Linked DNA regions of Alligator mississippiensis. The protein of the gene in region 1 purifies or fractionates together with the protein of each later gene. This does not show direct contact. Links are inferred from orthologs where the notes say so. Each region holds a gene or a part of one and is shown in the gene's direction. Other genes may lie near its edges.

Evidence for each region.
Region 2: the proteins of CAPZB (region 1) and PPP1CA purify together in Homo sapiens (affinity purification with mass spectrometry; 3 studies listed by BioGRID and IntAct, with this or other methods). This does not show direct contact. The link is inferred for Alligator mississippiensis from reciprocal best matches to the Homo sapiens genes CAPZB and PPP1CA.

Annotation. Positions count from the first base shown.
Region 1 is NC_081836.1:5,010,922-5,018,872, reverse strand, and holds the start of CAPZB (F-actin-capping protein subunit beta), read left to right. Parts: upstream 1-4,782; 5' UTR 4,783-4,890; coding exon 4,891-4,893; intron 4,894-7,951. UniProt on the Homo sapiens protein: F-actin-capping proteins bind in a Ca(2+)-independent manner to the fast growing ends of actin filaments (barbed end) thereby blocking the exchange of subunits at these ends.
Region 2 is NC_081825.1:176,232,891-176,241,061, reverse strand, and holds the start of PPP1CA (serine/threonine-protein phosphatase PP1-alpha catalytic subunit), read left to right. Parts: upstream 1-5,048; 5' UTR 5,049-5,101; coding exon 5,102-5,156; intron 5,157-5,432; coding exon 5,433-5,564; intron 5,565-6,129; coding exon 6,130-6,360; intron 6,361-6,915; coding exon 6,916-7,020; intron 7,021-7,243; coding exon 7,244-7,467; intron 7,468-7,698; coding exon 7,699-7,833; intron 7,834-8,171. Other genes in the region: TBC1D10C (carabin), read right to left, coding at 1,969-2,165. UniProt on the Homo sapiens protein: Protein phosphatase that associates with over 200 regulatory proteins to form highly specific holoenzymes which dephosphorylate hundreds of biological targets.

The DNA of each region.
Region 1 (7,951 bases):
TTTGTACTCACTTTGCACAGATGGAATAACTATACAGAGTGCAGAACAGCCCAGAACCTGGTCCCTATCTATAAGCTCTCTGTGCTCTCACAAACTCCCGCTGCTAATAGTGTTTATCCATATTGCCTTCTGTCTCCTTCATTTCCTCATCCTGCCTTCTGGTTGCCAGAGAGACTGCCTCTTCAACTGCCGGTTGCGAGGCATCCTTTGCAGGCGACCCTACCCTGAAGTTTCTTCTCCTGGGTAATGTTTAATCCTGGATTTCATCCTGTGCTTTCCTTTGTTTTCTTCAGGTTTCACTCTTTGGTACAGCACCGTGTCAGTCCCAGGAATTTCCTTGACCAGAGACTCAGAGGATTTCCAGTTTCCTCTTCTCTCTGCTCCAGCTGCGTCTCTGTGACCTTTATATTCATGTAGCTACTACAAGAGAACTGCATAAACTCATCTCAGTCTGCTTTCAAGAACAGCAGCAAATCACTTCCGTTGAGAGAAAGCCAGTCATTGGCAAAGGTGATGCTACTGTTATTCCTCATATTGTGCCTTTAATCTGTGCCCTTTAAAAACCGTTATATGTTGATTTATTAATATTATTGGTTCCACAAAATCATAAATCCCTGTGGTATTTTATAGGCAATTTGAAAAACAATATAGGGACAACAGGATGCACAAGGGTTGCTTCTTCAGCCATGAAGTGCAACCAGCTCTAGGGAGGAACACAACTGTTTAATATTGTTGCAAAGTAGTTTCTGTGCAACGTGGAATGGAAGGCAAAAATCCTGTATCCAACTGCAAACTACAAAGGGAACTTAAGCCAAGAGCATGCCACTGCTCAGTTTTGTATTATTACCCCAGCACCTTGCAGTTAACATCATATATATTCTTGGAAATTAATACTGTGCGCTTTTTAAGGGTACCAAATTAGAAAGCCTTTTTAAATCTCTCATACTAAAGGCAATACCTTTAGATAGTATACCACTTGGAACAGTTCAGTAACAACGATGTCACTTCCTCTTGCTCTGTTTTGGCATTTCTTGGAAGCCTCCCGTTCACGAATAGCCCTAGTCCAACTTCGGTTAGCTGACAATCGCAGAAAATCACAGCAGAAGGTGGGATGGCTGCAACCACAGTTACATGCACAGACTCGCCCCTTATTCAGACATCACCCACACTGCGATTACAGCCCACCAGAAAGAGTCTGGTCCCACATTTTGATAAACAAACAAAAAAAAAAAAAGGTCTCTTAAGCATGTCCTGCCATAAACAAACAGAGCAAGCAGCTGGTCCTCATTTGAAGAGATGTTCCATCAATCTGAGCAGGAATTTGCAGATCATCTTAATGCAAATATTTTTGGGAAAACAGAAAGCAGCTGTTTATTCGTCTTTATACCTATTAGCAGGAAAACAGAATCCAGGATGCTTGTATTTCTGCCACTAAGGAAAACATCCTCTTGGCCTCAACATTCGTTTGGATTTTGGAAATTGTTTAAAATACACCCGGCTGCAGTTTCTCTCTCTCTTGCTGTATGTTCCTTTGCTGACCACAGAGGCGCAATAAGAGCCTGAGAGCAGAGAGAAGCTGTACAGCAGATCTGCTAAATTAAAAGCCTAATAATCTTTGCCTACCTCATATGAGTGTTTTGAGGCAAGAATGAGGAGGTCAAATTATTATGCAAAGTGACATAGCGCTACTGGCTTCAGTGCAGCTCTGCTGATTTACACCGGTATAGACTGTGGCTCAGGGAATCCAGTGCTGTCATTTTCAAAATGGAAATCTGTAGCTGTTTAGTGCATACTGTTTGTTAAATTCACTAAAAATGGGCACTGGCAGAGCTGCGTCCTTTTGGTAAAGTTCTAAATGGGAGCTAATATTTAATAGCATTTAGATTCAAGTCATGAACAACTGTGATAACATATTAGGGTAAAATCAGAGCTACCCCCTGGTCATTTCCTGCCAGAAGGACATATGCACATAATATTACATGGAAAAATAGAAGCCATTCATCCGAAAATACACAGTTTCTGTTACAATCTTCGTGCAAGTGTTGCCCACACCATTATCAGAGACGCTCATGCCAGCTCCCACGACATTACATCAGACAAGGAAGCATTTTGTGACTCCTCTTGTCAGGATTTCCAGTTTCCATAGAGCATGCTTCCAGGCTAAGAAAAATAAAGGAACAACAAGAGGGTTTTTGGCTCATGTTAGGGACAAGCCTGCAATTCAGATGCCAAAAAGCACCAGCAGAGGGTCCTCACAAACCTGGCACTCAAGCCCTTTTGAAACATGGGCCAAACAATTGTTCCAAGAGAACTATAGAGGAAAATGTTGCCCCATAATGGAGTGGATTCTCCCCTGGGGGTAACTCTACGGACTTTAGTTGAGTTACATCTGGGCATAAAGTCAAAACCATGTGTCAGCAGTGATTCACAAATACCAGCACACAGAGGCCAGATTCAGGATCAGTTTTGGCTCAAATAACAGGATTTAATAAATCACCTGAAACAGTTAATTAATTGTTATTTTGCTGGAAGCAGGGTGGAGTGGAGTGGTGATGTACTTTACTCACACAGACCTTGAGACTTCCTGATTTTCATCTTCTTGCATTTGGGTCCCCATATTACAAGCACTGTAATGCACCAAAGACCCGCCTAACTTTAATCAGGTACTTGCATGCTTTGCTGAATTAAGGCTTCTATTTCTTCATAAGAATGATGGGTTGCCTATGGAATGAATTAATGTTCCCTCTACGTAGCTAGGAGCTATAACTTGTGCTCCAGAATCTAAGCATAATTAATATATATTATAGGCAGCACAGACAGTGACATTTATTCTTCAAATTACCCAACACTTCCTATTGTAAGATCCAGTTCCCATCACTTTGCCAAAATGCTAGTGGCTTGCACTGGAATTTTCTATGCTAGGTGTTTGCGTCAGGCTGATTTTTTTTGGAAAGGTTTTGTTAAATACTTTCAGATATTCCCCAGAATGAGATTAAACGGACCTCTTGTGCTCTGCTCATGTAAAAATCATTCATACAATTGTTTAATTGAGAAGCTGTAGTACCTTAATGCTTTGAAGCAGAGGCTTACAGTTTAGCACGTGGTGTGGTCATCAGGTGTCAGGGATATGCCTCTTGATGTTCCTGGGGTGAAAAAAGAAAACACATGAATTTTTATCCGAGTTATAAACTTTGAAAAAAAAAAAGCTCAGCTCACACCTTTTCGGGAAAGGTTTGCTAGAGTCTGGCAGCTAAATTCCATGAATGTTTCATCTGCTCTGAAAAAGTTTTATTTTGTTTTAGCTCCTACATGCCTATGAAGCTGAGCATACTACATCCCGGCGATTTACGGATTAAGCAGGACTTTCCCTAAAATTGAATCTTTAAAAACTGCTTTAGAGCCAGATACCAGGTCTGAGGCTAAAGACATGGTCTTTCCCGTGCTCTCACCTTCCCCCCCTTGGCACCCAGGCTAACTTAGAAGAAAGCTTTCTGAGGGAGGCAGGGTGACTGGAATTGGCTGGACAAAGAGCATCGGGGGGAATTGGGGAATCAGAATGCAGGATTTAGGATAAGGAGTCAGCAGTGGTGAAATGTGACTGGGACAGTGGAGTGGGGGAAGACTGGGACTGGGACAGTGGAATGGGAAACTAGAACAGACTAGACAAAGAGACATACTGAAACGGGAAGGCAAAGATGGTAGAAACTGGAACTGGCTAGGAGTAAAGAGAACGAGTCAGAGCTCAGTGGGTGGAGGAAGGAGGGACAGTACGAGACAGAACAGGGACGGGCGGGAGGGGCAGGATTCAGGGTACCAGGAGCAGGCCGACCTGTTCTTCCCTCCAGACTAGAGCCCGGATGAACCCAAGACGTGGGAGTCTCCCCACCCCCCCGCCTGCTATCAGCACCTCACCGAGAACCACTAGCAGGGCGTGCGCCTCATCCCCCTTCCCACTGCCTCCCAGGAGGGCGACAGCCTCCTACTACCATTACTTCCTGCTTTGTCCTCAGTGGCAGAAGCCAGAGCTTCCCAGTGGCGGAGGCTGGGGTCACAGCGGGTGCAGGCTGGGGGGGTTCCACTTTCCCAACTTGATTTTATTTTTTAATTAAAAACCTAACTGACCTCTCCCCCTTCCCCGCTTTTCACCCTTGCTGCCCCAAAGCACTACCCAGTGCGCACAATCCCTGTACAACAGGCTGCTAGAGTCTGCAGAGAGCCTGAGCCCCTTGCTGCACCAGGACCAACCACCCTGAACCTAGGGCGTGTAACGTTGCAGTGTCCCTCCCTATTGGCCTCTCCCGTCTCCCCCTGTTCTCTTCCCTATTGGTCTCTCCCGGTCCCCCGCCAGTCCCCTCCCTATTGGTCTCTCCCGTCCCCCCGTTCCCCTCCCTATTGGTTTCTCCCGGGCTTCCCTGTTCCCCTCCCTGATTGGGCGCTCTGTTCTTCCCCCCCTCCTTGGAGTTGGTTGCTTCCCCCTGTCCTTTTCCCCTTCTTCCTCAGCCCCTTGGTGTCTCCTCTCCCTGATTTAATTTCCTTTCACCCATTTAATGACTCAGGTTGTTCTTTCAGTTGGGCTCATCCCTCCATTCAACCCTGCTTCTTTCTATCTCCACCCCCCTCCAGAGAAGAGAATGGTCTCTCCCAGCGCCCCGCTCCTTCCCCTCCCCTCCAGAACGCGGGCCGCTCTCCATACTTGGCGATGGCCGGCAGCCCGCGCTCTGATTGGCCCGGGTGGCGGCGAGGGGCGGGGCCGGGGCCGGGGCCGGGCGGCTGTGACCCGGATGTTCACTCCTAGGCAACGGCGGAAGTGGAAGGGCCGCGGCCTGGCTCAGACGCAGACCGGACGGCCCCGGGAGTCGCCAGCGCCCAGCCCCGCCCCGCGGAGACATCATGGTAAGGGGGGGCCTGGCAGGGCCGGAGCCGCGCTCCCGGGGTCCCTCCTGGCGGGGGCTGCGGGGAGAGGTGCCTGCAGGGCCGGCCTGAGCCGCGGGGCTGGGCACGGCCGGGCTCCGGCTGCTCGCAGGGAGGCAGGTGTTGAGGGCAGGCCGAGGGGAGGGCGGGCGGAGCTTACTTGCAAAGCACAACTTCTCGGAGAGACTTCAGGGGTTGAGGAAAAAACCCCAGAACAACCAACCAAACCCCCAAGGTGTTTCTTCATCTTGGCCTCAGCGACCTGGACGCGAGTCTCCGGAGCGTCCCATCCTCTGCGTTGTGTTTCATTGCGCTGTCACCGAAAAGCAAACGCCGGCCCGTGACCGAAAACCGTAGCAAAGGAGGGCTGGAAGGGGCCCGCCGCCGAGGTCGCGCCTAGTCCGACCCCTGCCGCTTAAGCGCCTGGTTGTCCTACGTAGGTGCCGTGTGCGGCGGAGAAGGGCTGCCAGCGTCGCGTCCGCGATCGATTTGCGAACGCCGAATGGTGGCTTTGGGTTGACGCGTGTCGGTGACGCGCATTCATGATGGGGCTGGTCTAGTGTGTTTTGGATTTGGTAGATGTGCGTAGGACGAGCTGAATCTGTGGCGTGGACGTAAGTCGAGGGCGCTGTTACCTCCGCAGCCTGTTGCACGTCTGATGTTGAACCTGTCGTGGGAACGATGGGAGCAGGCTCGGGCGAGGACGTCTGAGGGGTGTTTTGTGAATGGAATCGTGCATTTCCTCGATCTTTGAAAGCTGTTTCAAAGACTCTTAAAATAAACGGGTAGTAATTTGACTGTTGCTTAAGATAGCAATGAGCACAAGAGTAGGAATGGTAATTGACCAAGGGTCTTACGCTACACTCGTCGGTCTGTACAGGTCCATCTGTCTGTGCAGAGTCTGCTTAAGGCAGGGGTGGGCAAAATACGGCCCGTGGGTTGGATGCGGCCTGCCAGGCCATTCCATCTGGCCCGCGGGGCCCCTAAAAAATTTATAAAATTAATATATATTGGCCCCTGGCTGCCTGTCACGCGGCCCTAGATGGCTCGTCAAAACTCAGTAAGCGGCCCTCCACACGAAATAATTGCCCGCCCCTGACGTAAGGCAACCTGACACCGTTCCTTGCGTGAAGCTCCCTGTATCCACAAACTTCTAGGATTCGAAAGTGGTGCTGTTATAGTGTAATTCTTCCAGTTGAATGTGTAAAGGCCACGACTAGAAGATCTGTCGATCGCTAGATCTATCGATCGCTGTCGTAAAACGCTGTAAAACGATATTGCCTGTTTTGAGATCTTTTCTATGCAGTGAGCATCTGAGTCCTTGTCACACTGACAGGTTCAAGAAGTTTGAGGCAGTTATTTCATTTTTCCCTCAAAACAGCGGGTAATGAGGAGCTTGCACTTGTTTTACACACAATGATATTGAATATATTGTCATCACAAGGCCTAGAGGCCTTAACCAAGATGGAGACTCTTTTGTTACCAAATACTGTACAAGCACATAATGGGAGTCAGTGTCTCCAGCTTAAACAAGGGGCAGGGGAAATAAACAGAGACATTATTTCAATTTGTGCATAAAATAGGTCTTTTCAGAGCACTAGGTTCAGGGTCTCATTCACATACTTGGAGTTAAACATTTGGAATATCAATGGAATCATAGAAAGATGGGGATGGAAAGGCCCTCGAGATCATCTAATCCAAGCCTCTGTTCAAGGCTGGGTTATTCCTTTCTAAACGATCACAGTCAGATGTTTGTCTAGCCTTCATTTAGGAGATTCTAGTGACAGGTTCTGCAACTGTTGGGTAATTTGTTCCAGCACTGAATAGGTAGAAGTTTTTTAATATCTAACCTATATCTTGTTGCAGTTACAGGTGTCATCCTCACTTCTGTCATGGTCCAGGCCCACAGCAAAAACTCATGAGAATGAGTAGGTTTTGTTGAGTACCGTAAATATTAAAGCTTATCTTTCTCCGGGGGGTGAGAGAACATTTTCTCAGTAGAATTTTTGCCTCTTAAAAGAAGAGTCCAGCTTGAATACCTCTGCACATTATAACTGGGAGTATTGCATTTGGGGAAAGGCATGTCTCCAGCCACTTTGAATTTGATTGATGCCTTCAGTTATACCCCAAAAAGCAATGGTCAGCCATGCTAAATATTTAATAACAGTGGAGATCACCAGGCACGTGTCCTTCATGCTTGGGACAAGAGAACCTTTTCAAAATTCTGTACTAGTCCCTGCTTTTTGAGAGGACTTGAAACATGAACACATTTGCAGCCGTGTTGTTGCGTGATGCATCATTTTGGCTGACTCGGTACATTTTGGATCAGCTGGATTTAGTAGATGTGCATAGGATAAGACGGATCTGTTCCTAAGTGCCATTTTAAGTTCAGTGAGAGATACTAGTTTTAAATCTAAACACATTCCTCTCCCTCCCCCTTGTGCTCTGCCCCAGGTCCCTCTTGGAAAAGATCACAGAACACTTGTTCTAGCTGCTCTGGAAAGTTGAAAGTCCCAGTTGATCCTGCTGGGTTTAGACTCATAGTTCTTGGGGTGCCTAGCCATTTCGGATGCCATAGTCCAGCCAGCTGTTGGATGACCAGTATCAAACATGGTGCTTAGACCTGCCTCGTCTCTCTTGGTTTTAAAAATAGTGTTTTGCCCTGAGGGATGCCATAAGTATACTTCAGGGTGTGTAGAGTTAGGGAGTATTCCAGCTGTGTATGTCCTCCAGTGGGTACAACCCAGTCATTGCTTCTATAATGAAAAGCTTCCTTTTCAGACTGTGTAAACTAGGGAGTATATGCAAGGTGCTCGATAAACTGTCCTGGTAGTACTCGCAAACATCTCGTTTTTCTTGTGTGTGCAAAGAGTAAACAAAATCTGAGCAAGATGTTAACATCAAACAAAGGTAAAATTGTATAGTGGGTGGCAGCTCCATTTAATTTGTTACGGCTTTTGGTCATTTGCAAAAAAAATTGTTAGAATGTGTTGCAGCAGCTAAGAAGCACTGAAGCACAGCTGTGATGCTTGGAATGATG
Region 2 (8,171 bases), on another chromosome or scaffold:
AGTAGGGAGGACTCGCCAAGTGAGGGCCATGCAAGTGTTGACCAGGAGCACTCTCTGAGTAAGGGATAATAAGCACTGAGGGCAGGGAGTACTTAAGTAAGCGATGACCACGCATTGATCGGGAGTACTCTTTGAGTAAGGAGCGAGTGAGAATTGAACAGGGAGTACTCGAGTAAGGGACGAAAAAACATTGAATAAGGAGTGCTCAGTGCTCCTCAAGTAAAGAACGGGAAAGGGCTGAGCAAGGAGCACCCCTTTGTAAGAGATGTACAAGCACTGAGCAAGGAGTAGTCCTTGAGTAAGGGAGGAATAACTGACTGCAGAGCAAGAAGTACTTGTGTCAGGGATGAGTATGTGTTGAACAGGGAGTGATGATCACTGAGTCGTGAGTAGCACATGAAGGAGTATCTAATATGGATAAGTAGCTGCTGGATAACGAGCGAGCAGCAAGTCACCATGAGCAAAGACAAAGAGGCGGGTCGGGATTTCCACCTGCAGAGTGCCCCTCTCAGACAGCGAAGGGATTGTCTAGGCAGCATTGGGCCTGCAGGGCTGGGCATGTTTTGCGGGCAGGGATCAGCTGTGGGGACTGCCTTGGACCCTGTGTATGGGCAGCTGGGGAGGAAGGTAATGGGGCTCTGCTCTCTGCACCCCCAGCAACGCTGTCTCCTGCCCTGGGCTCCATTCCCGCCCCAGCAGCTGCCAGCGCAGGGCAGGGAGGGGCGGGAGATGACGCACTGACATCTCTAACCACACACTCAGGTTGCCATGGGGACCAGTGACAGGATGTGGTGAGGCCGCTCACTGCTGAAATAGGAAGTGTTAGCTAACGGGTGTGTGCAGCCCTCAGCACGTAGAGCCTCCTCCTGGGACAGACCTGGTGCTCCTGGCCCTGTTAGCTCATCCCCTGAGACCCACTTGCCTGCCAGAAACCCCCCAAGGGACCCAAACCAGAGAAGACCTCAAGCTGGGTCCAAGCCAAAGGGGGAATTATGGGCAGTGAGATGCCATCATCTGTGGGGCTGGGACAGGGCAGAGTTACGGATCCTGTTTCCCAAGGGCCTGGAGAGCTCTGATTCAGATTGGATGTCTCTATCTTGAGCTCAGCCGTGCAAGCTGGCGGGATGCAGAAGGTGGAAGTTTGGAGAGATCCTACCTAAACATTGCCATCCCAGACAGAGGACACTGAGCCTCCTGCATCCTTGACTGACCTGTTAGCTAGAAAATATAATCCCTCCCCACCCCACCCCCACACACACCTTAACTCGTTTGCAGCATCCTATGTGTTTATATAGCAGACAGAGCTTGGAATTTCACCCCTGGTTAATCACCACTAAAGGGCACGGCACTAACCAGCTGCATCCCTGGTTAGCTGCAGTTACAACAGGCTCATTTGTTGTTAGCATCAGGCTGAAGCAGTTTCCTGGTAGATGCTCTCATAAGCCTCCTCTCAGACAACAAGGAGAATTTCACCCTGACTTCCCCAGGGAGCTTAGCTTTCCCAGATGTGAGCTGAGCCTGTCTAGCTCAGAGCCAGGGTTCTCTGCCTAGGGGGTGAAGCTGGGAGGGCCCCTGGGTCTAGCAAGGCTAAGAGAAAGGGGTTCAGGTACAGCTGATTTGTGGCTATGGGTGGTCTGTGCTGAACCACCAGCACTCAGGTGGGCACAGTGCCCTTCGGTAGGTTTTTGTGCAATGGGGCTGAGCAGGAGCATGCTGGAACTCAGGCTCAGAGCAAGGGATTGCCTTGGTTGGGTTGTGAACCTGGACACCAGGTCCAACAGGCACAACAGTGCCAGGGAGCTAGAGACCATGTACAGAATAGGACCCAGGTGTCCAAGAGAGAAGTCCAAGGCATCCTATCCCACACCTGTAGGGTCTATACTTCTCTCAGTGCACAGCAGGCTGCCTCCCCATTGCCCCAGCACTCCCAGTTGGGAAGGCTACCCCTGCCCCCCACCCCCAACTCACGCATTCTGGGCACTGCCACCCCCGATGAAGCCATAGCGATCAGTCTGGCGGTATGGGGGAACCCCATTGAACTCAGAGTCAGAGCCTAGTGAGCTGGAGTCCTCATGGTGCTCCAGGGCCAAGCTGAAGGCATCCGACAGGTCCTCCAGGGTGCTGTGGCTGGAGGAGTCAGCAGATGACATGGTGCTGGTCGCCATGCCCACGAGAGCACCCTGCAGGAGGGAGAGAGGGCCACAGTGAGTGTGGAGCAGGACAGCCCAGGACCAAGCACCCAAAAGAGACCCTCACATAGGCTCTCACCACAGCCCACCCCACTCTCTCCCCAAAGGAACTATCCACACCCCACCTCCTAAGCCTCCCCCTCGCCCCCCTAGGCCCTGCCCACCTATGCCCCTGCACCTCACCCCTCCAGACCTGCCTGTCCACAGCTCACACCCTCTTCCCTTCCTAGGTCTGTCCATTACAGGGCCTCCTTCCCCTATCACTTTAGTCTTTCTGTTTGGGGTGTTGCAGCCTCTTACCCACAGTGTCTACCCTGGGCGCCATTCCCCATGGGGTCTTCTTGCACAGCATCCCATGCCTTGTGCCCTCTCTGGGTCCGCCCATTTCCCCCAGCACCCCAGCACAGGACCCCATCTATGTGTGTTCAGTGTGTATGGGACATGCTGGGGCTGTCTTGCTGGCCATGCAGCATGTGTCCGACCCCTCACCCATGCAGGCTCCCCCACATCTATTGGCAAGCCCTCATCTCTAAATCTCCCTACACTCAGTGCTTGGGGAGTTTCTCAGAACATCCCCTCGCGTCTGTCCAGACACCCTGTGCTCCAGTCTTCCCCAGGATCCCACTCACCTTCCTTGGCCTCTAACTCGTGCCCTGCGCTGGGCTTGGGGGGCTTTCCTGATGCAGGATGCTGTGTCCGTGTGTCTGTCCCTTGCTGGCACCTCAGCCCCGGCGTGCGCCTTGCAAGCTGATTTCCTTCCCACAAGTCATTTCCTCCTGCACCTGATACTGCTGAGGCGGCAGGCAGTGTGTGTGTGGGGCGCAGGGGCCCATGGGAGAGAGCACGCAGGGAGGGGGCAGGTCCCCTAGAGAGGCAGTGCATGGTGTGGGCAACCGTCCTAGGGGGGGACACATGGCACAGGATGGTGGCAGGCACCCTGGGGAGTGCATGAGGAGGGCAAGGTCCCAGGAGTAAGCAGCCAGTGGGCCTGGGACTCGAGGCAGAGGGCACTCACTCTTTCCTTCCACCTGCTGACTGAGGCAGTACTGGAGTGACTGGGAGCTCCTCCCACAGCTATCACCCCCTACATGGCACTGTGCCAGGGGTGCAAGGCAGACAGCGTCACAGGGGGTTGTATGGTGGTGATGGCCTTAAGATCATGAGCCAGGCATTGACATGGGGTGCTGAGGGTGGTGCTGAGCCCCCATGGCAGTGTTGGATACTAGCAGTGGTGGGCAGTGCCTGCAGTCATTGCCAAGCAGTGGTGTGGGGGTGGGAGCCTCCTGCTGGGCACTGGCACTGTCTGACCCCTAGTGACACTGGGTGGCAGCCCTAGGCATGGGTGGATCTAGGATTTTGAAAAGTAGGGTACAGGTGGTGTGGCACATTGTCACATACAACACAACACTCTTTTTCTCCAACTAAAGGGAAACTAGAAGCTTTACTAATATGCTACGGGGCTAGTATGACAGTATTCAATTTGAGATCCAAGCAAAAGTAAACAGGGTATAACTGCTGGAATGTGCACTGATTTCCTAGATGATAGGAAACTTTTATCTTTAAAAAAGCACAGTAAATTTGACAAAACACAGTCATAGTCAAAAGGTATCTCATCAGTCACAAAGCCATCACAATTCAATCAACCCAAGTCCAGCATTCCTGAGCTTCTTGACAGTGCCTCCAGTACCTCACTGTCAATCACCTGAGGTAGTATGACCACACAGAGGTTAAAGTTTTTTGGCTAGAGCGGAAGAGTCTGCGAGGCTGTGATCCAGAAGAAAGAGGTGACTAGGCCTCTTCTGGATTAAGATCCAATGTAGTCCCTGCACTGGTCTGCTGCCGGGGCCGAGATCACTTTTGAATGGCAGTGTGCAATGGTGGGTGCATACCTGTGCAATGCACTGAGGACAGGACACCTTATGAGAGTCCACTATAGCCTCCCAGTGGGATGATCTTGGCTACACACCTACTTTATAGAAATGGTGGACACCTCCTAAGGGCAAGCGAGACTCGGGGACATCTGAACCCCAAGACCTCTGGGCTTGGGCCTGTACGTAGGATGCCAGCCAATGGATTTGGGGGTATCTGAAGCCTCAGGCTGAAGAGTCTGGGATGGAGGATACAGTGGTAGCGCCACATGGATTTGAATGACTGAGTTCGGCTCAATTGATAGGCTTTGGAACTGATTTGGCAAATTCAACCTGAAATATGAAATTAAAAAAAATTAAAAAGAGAGAGAGAGGCAACCAGGCAGCAACATTGCAGAGCAGTGCTGTAGCAATGAAGTTTGGTGCCCGGGGCAAAGCCCACAGCGGCAGTTTGCCTTTGCCCTGCGCACACATCTGGGGGGCACACGCCTCCCACCCCAATGCTTGCCCGGGAGTGAACGCAGCGGCGAGAGCCATCCTCCCTCCATCCCCCCCAAAATGAGCCACTTGCAGCTCCGTCCCACTCCCCGCCCCGGGTGAGCAGCACCTGTCAGTGCCCCTTCACTTTGGTGCCCAGGGCGGTTGCCCTGCTCACCCCCCGCCCCCCTTGCCCCAGAGGATGGGCTGGGGCGCAGGGTGGCCAGCTGGTTGTCCCCTGCCCTCTCTTGATACGAAACTGGACGCCTTTACGTCCTCTATAGAAAACTCGAGGACATAGAGGCGTCGGGTTTCGTATCAAGAGAGGACAGAAGTGTCCTCTACGGCGGCCACGGGGGAGCCCGGACCACTATGACCCCTGCACTCACACGACCCGCCGGCTGGCTGCAAGGACACCCCCAGGCCGCAGCGGGTGCTGCGCAGCGGGGCGGGGCGCGAGGCCTGGCGGCTCGGGGACCCAGCCCCGCCCCGCCCCGCCCCGCCCGCAGATGGGGCGGGGCGGGGCGGAGGCAGCAGGCGGGGGAGCGCAGGCCGGGCCGGGCAGCCATGGCGGACGGCGAGAAGCTCAACCTCGACTCCATCATCGGCCGCCTGCTGGAAGGTGCCGCGGGGCCCGGCCGGGGAATTGAGGCAGGGCGCGAGGGGCGGCCCCCTTGGGGCTCGCCTGAGCCCGCGGGGCGGGGGGGCACGTGCTGCAGGCGCCGGGATGGGCCTGGGGCGGGCGGCAGGGCTGCGTGTGCACATGCATTCGGGTGGGCGTGGGTGCTCACGCGCGTGGGTGGGTGGGCGCCTGCATGTGTCCGTGCGTGCGGGGGCGGGGAGGCGCTGCCCCCCCCCCCCCCCCGGTGACCCGCCCCCGTGGGCCGCCCCGCTGCAGTGCAGGGCTCTCGGCCGGGCAAGAACGTGCAGCTGACGGAGAACGAGATCCGTGGCCTGTGCCTCAAGTCGCGGGAGATCTTCCTGAGCCAGCCCATCCTGCTGGAGCTCGAGGCGCCGCTCAAGATCTGCGGTGAGCCCCAGGGCCCACCGCCACCCTTGTCCACGCATCTTGTCCCCCAGCCCCAGCCTTAGGGCAGTGGGTTCCCCTGCGGGAGGTTGCAGCGTGTCCTGGCTGGTGTTCGCAGGGATCGGAGCGGTCCCACCTGCACCTTACTCTCCATTGCTCCCCCCAGTCCAGCCCTAAGGGTGGAAGGTCCCCCTGCGAGAGGTCCTGGGGGTCTCTTGCTGAGGTGGGCTGGGTGTGGGGATTGGAGCAGCCCCCCCACCCCCACACACACACTTCTTTGTCCCCTATTGCCACCCTCACCCCATTTGTGGGGGTGGTGGGTTCCCCTGTGGGAGGTCTTGGCAGGTCTTAGGAATCCCTTGTTGATGCTGGCAGGGTAGGGGGGTCAGAGTGGTCCCCTGGCTCCGGCTGCAATCTGGGGGATTAGGGGAGGAGGATGCGGGATCTCTGGGCAGGGCTGGTAGGGACAGCATAGGTTCCCTGCTGGGCTGGGGGTCTCTGGGTAGCTGGTAGGGAGGTTGGAGAAGGTCTGTGTACTGAGGGTGCCATTCCCCCCTGCACTCTCCAGGTGACATCCATGGGCAGTACTACGATCTACTGCGGCTCTTCGAGTACGGGGGCTTCCCACCTGAGAGCAACTACCTCTTCCTGGGTGACTACGTGGACCGGGGCAAGCAGTCATTGGAGACCATCTGCCTTCTGCTGGCCTACAAGATTAAGTACCCTGAGAACTTCTTCCTGCTGCGCGGCAACCACGAGTGCGCCAGCATAAATCGCATCTATGGTTTCTACGACGAATGTGAGTGTGATTTCACCCCCCTCCCCCTGCCCCTATCTACCTGGACGCATGACTGTTCCCATTTGTGTCTGAGCCTGGGCCGTGCTGCGAGTATGCAAGCATCAACTGCATTTGAGTGCTAATGACCCTGGGCCCCCACTATTGCAACCTCTGCCTGCCTCCAGGTGTGAGCATACACCTAACTGCAAATGTGCAAACATCAACCACGCCTGTGCCTCATACTCGCATCCCTGCAGTTGAGGGTATCAGCTGCATCTCTGTCTTGTGCACCAAATTTCTTACCCTACCACACTCCCAGTCACAAGGGTGCACTCCCCAGCTGCAAGCATGTGGGCATGTGCTCTGGGGGCAGCTGATGTGGTAAGTGTGGTGCCTTCCAACTATGAGGGGGCTGCTTGTCCCATCTCCTATGGTGGCCCAAACCATGTGACTCTCTGACCTGGGTCTCCCTAGAAGGGAGTGTGCACCCCGGGAAAGGCAGATACTCTTAGGTGGTGGGAGCAGAAGGGGCTGCTGCTGTGGTGAGGCTCCCATCCCAGATATTGTGCTTTGCAGGCAAGAGGCGCTACAACATCAAGCTCTGGAAGACATTCACTGACTGCTTCAACTGCTTACCCATTGCTGCTATTGTGGACGAGAAGATTTTCTGCTGCCATGGAGGTGGACAGTGCCCAGGCCTCTAGACCTTGTGATCGGGAGGGGGAGAGGGAGTCCTTTCCCTTATGAGGCACTGCTGGGGTGGGGTTTGGGGGGAGAGGCTCCGCAGGGCTGTGTAGGGGTAGAGGGTTGCTGTGGGGGGGTCACTGGGGATGCTCTCCAGCAGATCAGCACCACCCCCTGCTGGGGTATGATGTCTCACAGCCTTATCCCCCTTTCTTCCCAGGGCTGTCCCCTGACCTGCAATCAATGGAGCAGATCCGGCGGATCATGCGCCCCACGGATGTGCCAGACCAGGGCCTGCTGTGTGACTTGCTCTGGTCCGATCCTGACAAGGACGTGCAGGGCTGGGGCGAGAACGACCGTGGCGTCTCCTTCACCTTTGGCGCTGAGGTTGTGGCCAAATTCCTGCACAAACACGATCTGGACCTCATCTGCCGGGCACACCAGGTACCCTGTACCCTGAGATAGAGCCATATTAGGGGAACTCAGGGGTGGGCTAGCAAGGGGTTGCGGGTCAGAAGTGAAGAGCAGAGCTGTGAAGAGAGCCTGTGGTTGGGATGGCAGAGAGCTATAGCGGAGGAGGCAGAGCCAGGGCTCCTGTGTGGGTTCCCTGCATCTGGCAGAGGGAGGGCTAAGTTGAGTCCTGGTGCCAAGCCCTTCGTTGTCCTTCTGCCTTAGGTGGTGGAGGATGGTTATGAGTTCTTTGCCAAGCGCCAGCTGGTGACACTCTTCTCAGCCCCCAACTACTGTGGCGAGTTCGACAATGCAGGTGCCATGATGAGCGTGGATGAGACCCTCATGTGCTCCTTCCAGGTGAGCCTCAGGCCAGGGCTCTTCTTCCCCACCCCTCCCTGGCAACCATGGCAATGAGCCAAGCTCTCACCCTACGGACACAGGCTCAGAGCTGGGTAAGGGTTGAATTTCCCTTCCCCTGACCCTGCAAGCATCTGCCTGTCTCCTGTAGAAAACCTTGATGAGGGAGGAGTTGGGTCTTGGAGTGGGGTTTCAAGAGACTCCCAGGGGCTCTGAACCCTGAATACTAACCCTGCTGCTTGTGATTTGGGGGAGGGCAGTTGTCCCCCCCACCCAGGCTGGAGATGCTGTCCTCTAGCCAGTGCCTCAGTCTGTTCTCGGGGTCTGGGGTACAACAA